Linked DNA regions of Coturnix japonica. The protein of the gene in region 1 binds, or shares a complex with, the protein of each later gene. Links are inferred from orthologs where the notes say so. Each region holds a gene or a part of one and is shown in the gene's direction. Other genes may lie near its edges. The genes, in order: RAB9A and NDE1.

Region 1 (4,479 bases):
CTAAGACAAAAGGGAAACAGTGCACTTTTGTTGTTTATTTCATTTGAGACTGCCATGGTACATACAAAAGGAAAGGTTCATTTACTGTATTTTTGTTTGTTTTGTTCTATGCTAGCAAAAAGAGGTTAGCTACTCATTGTTAACTGTTGATAAGGAACAAACATGTTAAATTATGATCCTTTGAGGAGTACGCAGGGTGTAATGGCCCAGATCATTGAATGTCTGGGAAATAAGGAGCACTTTGATACTTGTTTGGGGGGCCTGGCTTGCCACAGTGTGGTATTAGCTGAGCAATAAAAGCAGCTGACTTCATATCCCCTTATTTTTTATTGCCCTGATTCAGACAGGAGGTGACAGAGTCATGTTTTATTGAAGCAAGGTCATCACTTGCCAGGATGGGACAAAGTCTCCTTGCCAATTACGGATGGTAAAAAGCAATATTCACGAGCTGTGCTGCACGGGGGCTTTGCTGATGCAGAACATTCCCTTGAATGAAAACCCCCACTGTCCTCTGCTTGCCATTCTGCTGTTGATAGATGTTGGCATAAAACCAACCCTCATTCTGCTACAGGGCTGGCAGTGCAGGGTATGTGGATGGAGACCTCAGGAAGAAGGCCCACAGCATCCAGCCAAGGCAGGCCCAGCCAGTGGATTCAGCCAGCCCACAGGGACAGGCCATGCCAAGGCCAAATCAGGGCCACAGGTCTGGGGTGGGGGCTAGGCCTGTGGTGCCATTATGGAGCGATGTTTCCATCCGGATCTGAAATCAGAGTGATTTTGGTGTGAAATGGCCACGCAACATCTCAGGTGGTAATTTCCTTCAACCTGCTGCTGAGGCGTAATTTCCTTCAACCTGCTGCTGAGGCGTGACAGGCCTGTCTTCCTTGAGTGCCATGATCACCAGCAGTGCTCCTGGGGTTCCTCAGCGTGCTACAGCAAGCACTTTTTGTACCAAACATGAATAACAGTAGCAGGGGGAGCTGAGGGGGAAAAAAAGCAGATGAAAGCAGGTCCCAGGAAACAAGTCTTTAAACGTTTTCAGAGTCCAGCTTTGTTAAGTAAGAATGCCGGTAGTGTCATCGCATTGCCTTTAGCCTGGGTGCTGCTGTCAGTGGGAGGCATTTCCCTCCGATAACACAGAGATCTTGTTTTCCATTCCTTAGTACATCTGATCCAAACCCCAGATGACTGTGCAAGCGGCAGATCCAGTCTGATTGCCTCACCCTTGTGATCGAAAGCATGTGACGGCTGCTGGGGCAAAGTGGTGTTTCAAAGGCTCATCCCTTAAGCCTATAATCACCCGTTCCTCTTCATGATGCGGGGACCTCTTCAAAATACACTTAAATACATTTCTACACGTTTCGTCATTCCTATAACACGCTGTAAGAGCGTAACAGATACTCTGTAGCCGATTTCTTTAGATTTCTTCCCTGCTGTCATGTTCTCAAACAACCACTCGACCTTCACACCGAGCTGCCCCAGTGACAGGTTCCCCCTGCTCCACCCACGGCAGCGGGCACCCCCTGGAAGGGCGGGGTCTCACCGCCCCTCCTCTCCCTTCCCCTCCCCTGTCCTGCCGGGGGCAGAGCCAAGCGGGACACACGTCACCGGCCCGCCCCCACCCCCGTCTGTTCCGCCATGTTGTTTCTCCCTTCCCTCAGCGCCCGGCGGCGCAGCTGTGTCTCGGTGCTGTGGGCAGCTCCTATCCGTGGGCAGGTAGTGGCTGTTTGGTGGGTGCGGAGGGACTCTGAGGGGAGGGCACGGTAGGGGCTGGTGTCCGGGGTGGGTGACGGCTTGTTGTGCGGATCCTGCCCCGGCAGCTTTGGGGTGCAGAGGGTCTCGCTGTTCCCCTTGTACCCGTTCGGTTGTGGCTGTACTCTGGTGAGTGCCGGGCTGAGGGCTGCGGGCTGTGCCCGGCGGCGGTGGGTGAGGGCCCGGCTCGGCGAGGACCGGGTGGTGTGAGCGGGATCCCGTGACTGCGGGCGTCTCGCCTGGGAAGCGGCCCAGCACCGACACGGCCGCTGTTGTCATTGGTCTCCCGTTTATCGGCGTGGGGTGGTTGAGAGTGATGGGCTTCTAGGGGGATTTTCTTGTGTGTCTGCTTTGTTTTGTTAGCAGCTTATGCGGTTGCCCCGTCCTTGGAGGTGTTCAAGACCAGGTTGGACGGGGCCCTGGGCATCCTGATCTAGTAAATGTGTATGTTTGGTGGCCCTGCCAGGCAGGGGGGTTGGAACTACATGATCCTTGAGGTCCCTTCCAACCCGGGTCATTCTGTGATTCTGTGGTAGTGACCGAGGCAGCTATTGCTAAGGATCTCAGAAGGAAAAGGGAGAGTCATGTACTGTCGAGAGGAGCACAGATGAGAAATAGTATTTAGCTGATTGGTAAGCTACTGACAGAGAGGGAGCAGTAACCAAGTTGGGTTGCAGGTCAGTTAATGTGATCCTGTGAATTCCTAGTGATGCTGGACCAACTTACTCTGAAGGTTGCTTTATAGCTGGCTGAAAGTCAGTGATATTATTATGACATAGTACTTAAAGTACTTAGGAGATGCTTACTTGTGAGTTTCTGAAAATTGTTCTTTTCTTTTTTTTCTTTTTCTGAATTTAATCAGTGTTGTTAAGTTTGATCATTCAGCTTGGAAGTGAGTAATGAGGTGGAAGGTGGAGGCTGGGTCCGTATGTGGTGTTTCTCCTGATATGTTTTTCTGATCCACTTTGTGGTTAGATGTAAGTTACAGTAACTAAAGAGATTCTGGCAGTAGGCCTGGGATGATTTCATGATCCAAGGGTTTTGCAGGCTGAAGGATTCCTGTTCTTGGCTGCTGCCTCTTCCATTGTCTTGTGTCATTCCAGGCAACTGCTGAACTGCACAGGAGTTACAAGTAGCCTTACAAAGAAACGAAAAATACAACTTTTTGGCATGTAAATGAGTAACGACAGCTCAATGTCAATCCATTTTGTGTTGTGTTCAATTATTAGGAATAACCTTCAATGTTATTGCAGCCTTTCAATACCTGAAGGGAACTTACTCCCAGGAGGGGAGTAAACTCTTCAAAAGGGCTGACAATAGCAGGACACGGGGAAATGGATTTAAGTTAAAAGAGGGAAGATTTAGGTTGGATGTTAGGGGGAAGTTCTTCACTAGGAGAGTGGTTAGGCCCTGGAACAGGCTGCCCTGGGAGGTTGTGGATGCCCCGTCCTTGGAGGTGTTCAAGGCCAGGTTGGACGGGGCCCTGGGTAACCTGATCTAGTAAAGGTGTATGTTTGGTGGCCCTGCCAGGCAGGGGGGTTGGAACTATATGATCCTTGAGGTCCCTTCCAACCCGGGTCATTCTGTGATTATTCTGATGTTAGATAAACTATGACCAGGCTGCAGAAGACTGGAGACAGTTTTCAGATAAGAACTTTTTTTCTTGTCATCAAGTTATCTATCTGACATAAAACATAAGCTGCCATCACACTGCAGTAGTTTGCTCATAGATAAAGGAAGGAAGACCTGCAGGGTGATTGGGATCTCGGTGGGTCGGGCCATGTGACTGGAGGGCTGCCTGCTTTGCAGAGAATTGGGCTGCTGTCAAATGTCAACAACCCCACTGTAAAGGGTATTTCTGAGCCACAGGTTTTACACGGGTATTTTTTGGAGGGGAAGGTCAGTTTGAAGGCTGTTGTGGTCAAAACTGCATTGCATTGAGAAGTGCACAGCTTGGAGGAGACTTCGTCTCTGTTCCTCTCTGAATTTTAAAGCAAAACATTTCAAGGTGAGGCAAGCTTTGTGGCCCTTTACCCACTGGAAAATTGTTCTTATACTGCTTTCTTATCTGGAGTGTAAATAAGGCAGTACTCTTTAAGTACATGGACAAGGATTCTGTAGCTAAATGAGAGAAGAGGGAGTAAGTTTGTTTCTGTTGCTTTCTTTTCAGCTTTCTGGAGACTTTTAGATCTGCAAAAGGTGATAAAACTGCTGTAGTATTTGAGGGATCGGACAAAGAACAAGTGTTAACCTAGTTTTCAGCACTTCATTCTTGATTCTGACCATGACCTTGCAGCTCTGCAAGTTTTTGTGTTGGTTTTTTATTTTATTGTAATTTTCCAGACATTTTGCAGAGAAGCAATTTGTCAGTATTTAATGAGTTATAGAATCACAGAATCACAGAATGACCCGGGTTGGAAGGGACCTCAAGGATCACGTAGCTCCAACCCCCCTGCCTGGCAGGGCCACCAAACATACACATTTACTAGATCAGGTTGCCCAGGGTCCCGTCCAACCTGGCCTTGAACACCTCCAAGGACGGGGCATCCACAACCTCCCTGGGCAGCCTGTTCCAGGGCCTAACCACTCTCCTAGTGAACTAAAACAGGAGATGGGTTTTCTTTCTATGTTAATGTGATAAATGTTGTCAGATGCTTCAAGAAGAAAACGATAGATGGAGTAAGTGTATGTTGTTACTGCAAGGCAGGTATTTTTGTCTGACATCAC
Region 2 (3,809 bases), on another chromosome or scaffold:
ACCAGGTGGTTTTACAGAGAAGTACGTGTGAATATGGGTTATGATTTTTTTTTCCATAGGTGTAGAATTAGCTGGAAGAACTGTTGCCATGACCTGATTGACTCCCTATCCTCAATCTGCTGAGGTGTCCATTAAATTTGTAATGTCTTTGGAATCTTTGCCTCACTTAGGGTTGCCCTTGGCAAATTATCCAGAGCTTTATGACTGATATTTCTCCCTTGTCAAGACTACCTCATATAAAATGATACTTGCTAGTTACCTGTTTATTTGAGCACATTATGCACATCAGAAGGCATTTAATTATAGTACCTAATTAGATTTCAAGCAGGAGTTACCAACTTAAGGTGCTTAATTTCCACATGGCTCTTGTATGTGTCATTCCTTTTTGGGACTATGACGTGTACCTGTGCTTATGCTTGCACAAGGACTGCTGGCTGGTCTGGATTGCTCACTAGGTTGCTGCATCTATCTGTACATCTAGTCTAACCAGATGCTATCCCACTAGAACCTCTGTGGAGCTCTTAGCATCTTTTCCCTAGGAATTTCTGGTATTCCCTTCTCCCATGGCTCTCTGATGTATCCAAATATGTTGTGCCCATCAGCCACATCTGCATTCTGATATCTCAGGTTTTAAGTCAAGTAGTTTTTTTTACTGTAATGAGAGGTGTTTTTTGTTTTTTGTTTTTCTCATGTTCAGCAGGTATGTCCATAAGAATCTTAAGTGCTCCTGCAAGTGTTAACAGAGGAATCCTGAGTACCTTCGTGTCTCATGGAAGTTTCTTGTTCAGTGTTTCTCTAAGGCTGATGAAGTCAAACTGAATTTGGAGGTGCTTCTGAGATCTTTATCACCTGTGTTCTGTGTGCATTGGCGCAGCTGTAGCTGAAGTTTGACATTTGGCCTTCTGTACTGTGTAGTCAGAGGGAAGATGCTTGCTGTGGGCAATGTGGTGTGCAGCAACCTTGGGAAACCTGGAGAAAAGACTGTGTTGATTCAGTAGAGATTTTCATGTTTTTGTTCTATCCAGCAGAGTGCTGCTGAAGCTGGTCTTTAGTTTGGTCTCCAGACATGCACCACGTTCCTGGGAGGAGTGGTGCACCACTGTACATTGAAAAGTGAAATGAATAAAAAGTTAATTCACTGCATTAGTTCTTAACGCTTGATCCTTCAGTTTTCCAGGGCAAAAAATGAAATAAAGTGTTAAACTCTGAGGACTTACCATGGAAGACTCGGAAGAGCATCGCTTCAGCTCAGTTGAAGAGGAAGCCAGATACTGGAAAGAGTTGGCTGTGAAATACAAGCAGCGGTAAGGCAGTGGTTTCATTCCTTGAAGCAGTTTGATGGGATGTATAAGCAGTGCATGCCAAGATGAATAGCTGAACTACCTTGAATTTACCTCCCTGTGTGGCACTATGTTGAGCAGCTGCAGAAGCAGTGCAGCACCGCAGGTTTCAGCATAATCTACATCAGCCCAGAGTCCTTCATGCTTATTTGAGCAGTGAATTAGTGCTGCCATGGCACTGCTGCTTTTGGTCCCTTCTCTAGATTGAGTAGGACTATGTGTGTTGGAGAGGGCTTTCTGTGCTAGCAGGTAGTATTTTCTTCCTCCAGTGTACAAGAAATTGTTTTGATTCATGGGAGTGAATTCTGTTGCTGAACTGTGTTCTAGTGCTGAGAATACACAGGAGGAACTGCGTGAATTCCAAGAAGGGAGCCGAGAATATGAAGCTGAACTGGAAAGTCAGCTGCAGCAAACAGAGTCCAGAAACAGAGAGCTTCTTTCAGAAAACAATCGTTTGCGGATGGACCTGGAGTCTGCTAAGGTAACAGTGGATGATACCTACAGTAACTGTGTATCCTAAGCATGAAGGTAAATGAGACTGATGTGTGCAGATTCAGCTTGGAAAAATTGAGAAACGTCTATCTGTAATCTGCTTGGAAGAGTTCTAAATATCTCAGTGTTGTTCCTGAACCCCTATTAGCAATGTGGCTGTGTTTCAGTGTAGGTTTGAAACAGGAGAAAATTGTCTGTGGCAGAGTGGAGAGCACACATGAACAGAGCTGAGTGTATGTTTATCTCAGCTATTGTTTCCTTGAGTCTTTAATTTAACCTCTCTGGAATAAAGAGATGTTCTGTTCCACATCCCCAGCTTGGTGATTTCCACACCTCTAACCTCCAACCACAATCTTTTTGGCAATAAAAGCTCCGTGCCTGACTTAACTGCCTTTTTTCTGTCACACTGATCTTGGTTCTTGCTTTATCAGTGGCATAGCAATATTAAATGCTCTGCTTATTACATGGAGTATTGGCCTGTTCTGTCCCCTGTAGTCACATAAACCCATGGAAGTTGATGAGTGAGGAGGTCTATCCATTCAACAAAATCTTGCATTTCATTTGATTAAGGAGAGCATAGATTGCTTTCTTCTGCTGTGAGAGCTGAGAAAAAAGGGCAGTCAATGAGCTGAAGCAGTTGGGAATGAAAATAGTAGGAACTGGCATAAAACTTCTACAACACAGAGAGCAAACGTTTCAGAAAACCTTACTTAATTTTCACGGTAGATAAGTTTATAAAAACATATTCTGCTTGAAATGAACATTTTAACAATTGGTTATTCGTGCAGCCTGAAGATTGCAGTAACAGCCTGCAGTGAAGAAACAGAGGACCCATTGATGGTCATGTCAGCTGATGGTTTATTACAATTGGCTGAAAACAAAGGCTCAAACCTTGCAGTTCTGGTCTTTTATCTGAGTCAATTCAAGAGCAAAGCATTAAACTCATGAAGCTATTGAGCAGCAATGTTAACTGAACCCATCAAGGATTGGTGTCTACATCTAGGTTAACACAAGTGAACTTTATAAGGCCTGCACAGTTTGTAGCTTTGAGTTTACCTTCTTGCTACTCCTCTGAAACTGGAGTTCAAGCTACCTTGAGTATAAATGGAAATAATACTTTGGAAATGGAAATAATACTTTGGAAGGCTTATTTAAGAGTGTGAAAAGCTAGCTAAAAGTAATCTGCTTCTTAGAGCTTGTGGGGGATCTTAAAGCCAACGTGCACGTGTGCGTTCAGGGATCAGGAATTATGGCAACATGTCACCACACTTAACTAAGTAGAAATTAATGAATTCTAAATGGGTTTCTCTTTCCTTTGTCCTTGTCTGCGTGCTATATGCAAGCAGCTCTCTTCAGATTATCAGCTGTGATAAACTATGTGCCATGGTTTTCAAGTTCCAGTATGTGGATTTGTTTTCAGTGACTTCAAGTGTGTTAAATTCTAAACAGATAAGAATCTCAGAAATGTTATTCATCTAGCAATCTCACAGCTTCAGAAAAGTCTCTGGTATGTTGAACTGATCCAGTGGCAAGGTAGTGGAGTGTGATGCTTTTGCTGTCATGTGGTGCTAACTATGTCTGGAAGAGATAACTGGAGAGAAGTTTGTGCTGGTGAAGTTCAGCTCCTTCCTCTCTGGTGTCTCTTCTAAATATACTCTAAGTGCTTTAAAGGATTTTATTTTATTTTATTTTATTTTATTTTATTTTATTTTATTTTATTTTATTTTATTTTATTTTGCCTTTAAAGGGACTAAGAAAATACCAAGTCCCTGATATGCTGTTTTATTTGTCCTGGGCTAGGAAAAGTTTGAAATGCAGCATTCAGAATGGTACAGGCAAATCTCTGCCCTGGAAGATGACTTGGCACAGACAAAAGCTATCAAAGATCAACTTCAGAAATACATTCGAGAACTTGAGCAAGCAAATGATGACTTGGAAAGAGCAAAAAGGTGACCGGTCTTCTATGCTTTCTATCAC

What was found.
Region 2: the proteins of RAB9A (region 1) and NDE1 are in contact, whole or in part, in a crystal structure (PDB 7E1T), measured with the Homo sapiens proteins. The link is inferred for Coturnix japonica from reciprocal best matches to the Homo sapiens genes RAB9A and NDE1. Residues at the interface, in NP_001182257.1 of Homo sapiens: Ile40, Val42, Phe44, Asn46, Gln59, Trp61, Arg68, Phe69, Ser71, Leu72, Pro75, Phe76; in NP_001137451.1 of Homo sapiens: Asp99, Gln102, Thr103, Ala105, Ile106, Gln109, Leu110, Tyr113.

Annotation. Positions count from the first base shown.
Region 1 is NC_029516.1:110,827,610-110,832,088, reverse strand, and holds the start of RAB9A (ras-related protein Rab-9A), read left to right. Parts: upstream 1-1,592; 5' UTR 1,593-1,716; exon of another isoform or gene 1,717-1,730; intron 1,731-4,479. UniProt on the Homo sapiens protein: The small GTPases Rab are key regulators of intracellular membrane trafficking, from the formation of transport vesicles to their fusion with membranes.
Region 2 is NC_029529.1:7,391,060-7,394,868, forward strand, and holds part of NDE1 (nuclear distribution protein nudE homolog 1), read left to right. Parts: intron 1-1,169; 5' UTR 1,170-1,218; coding exon 1,219-1,304; intron 1,305-1,667; coding exon 1,668-1,821; intron 1,822-3,632; coding exon 3,633-3,781; intron 3,782-3,809. UniProt on the Homo sapiens protein: Required for centrosome duplication and formation and function of the mitotic spindle. Essential for the development of the cerebral cortex.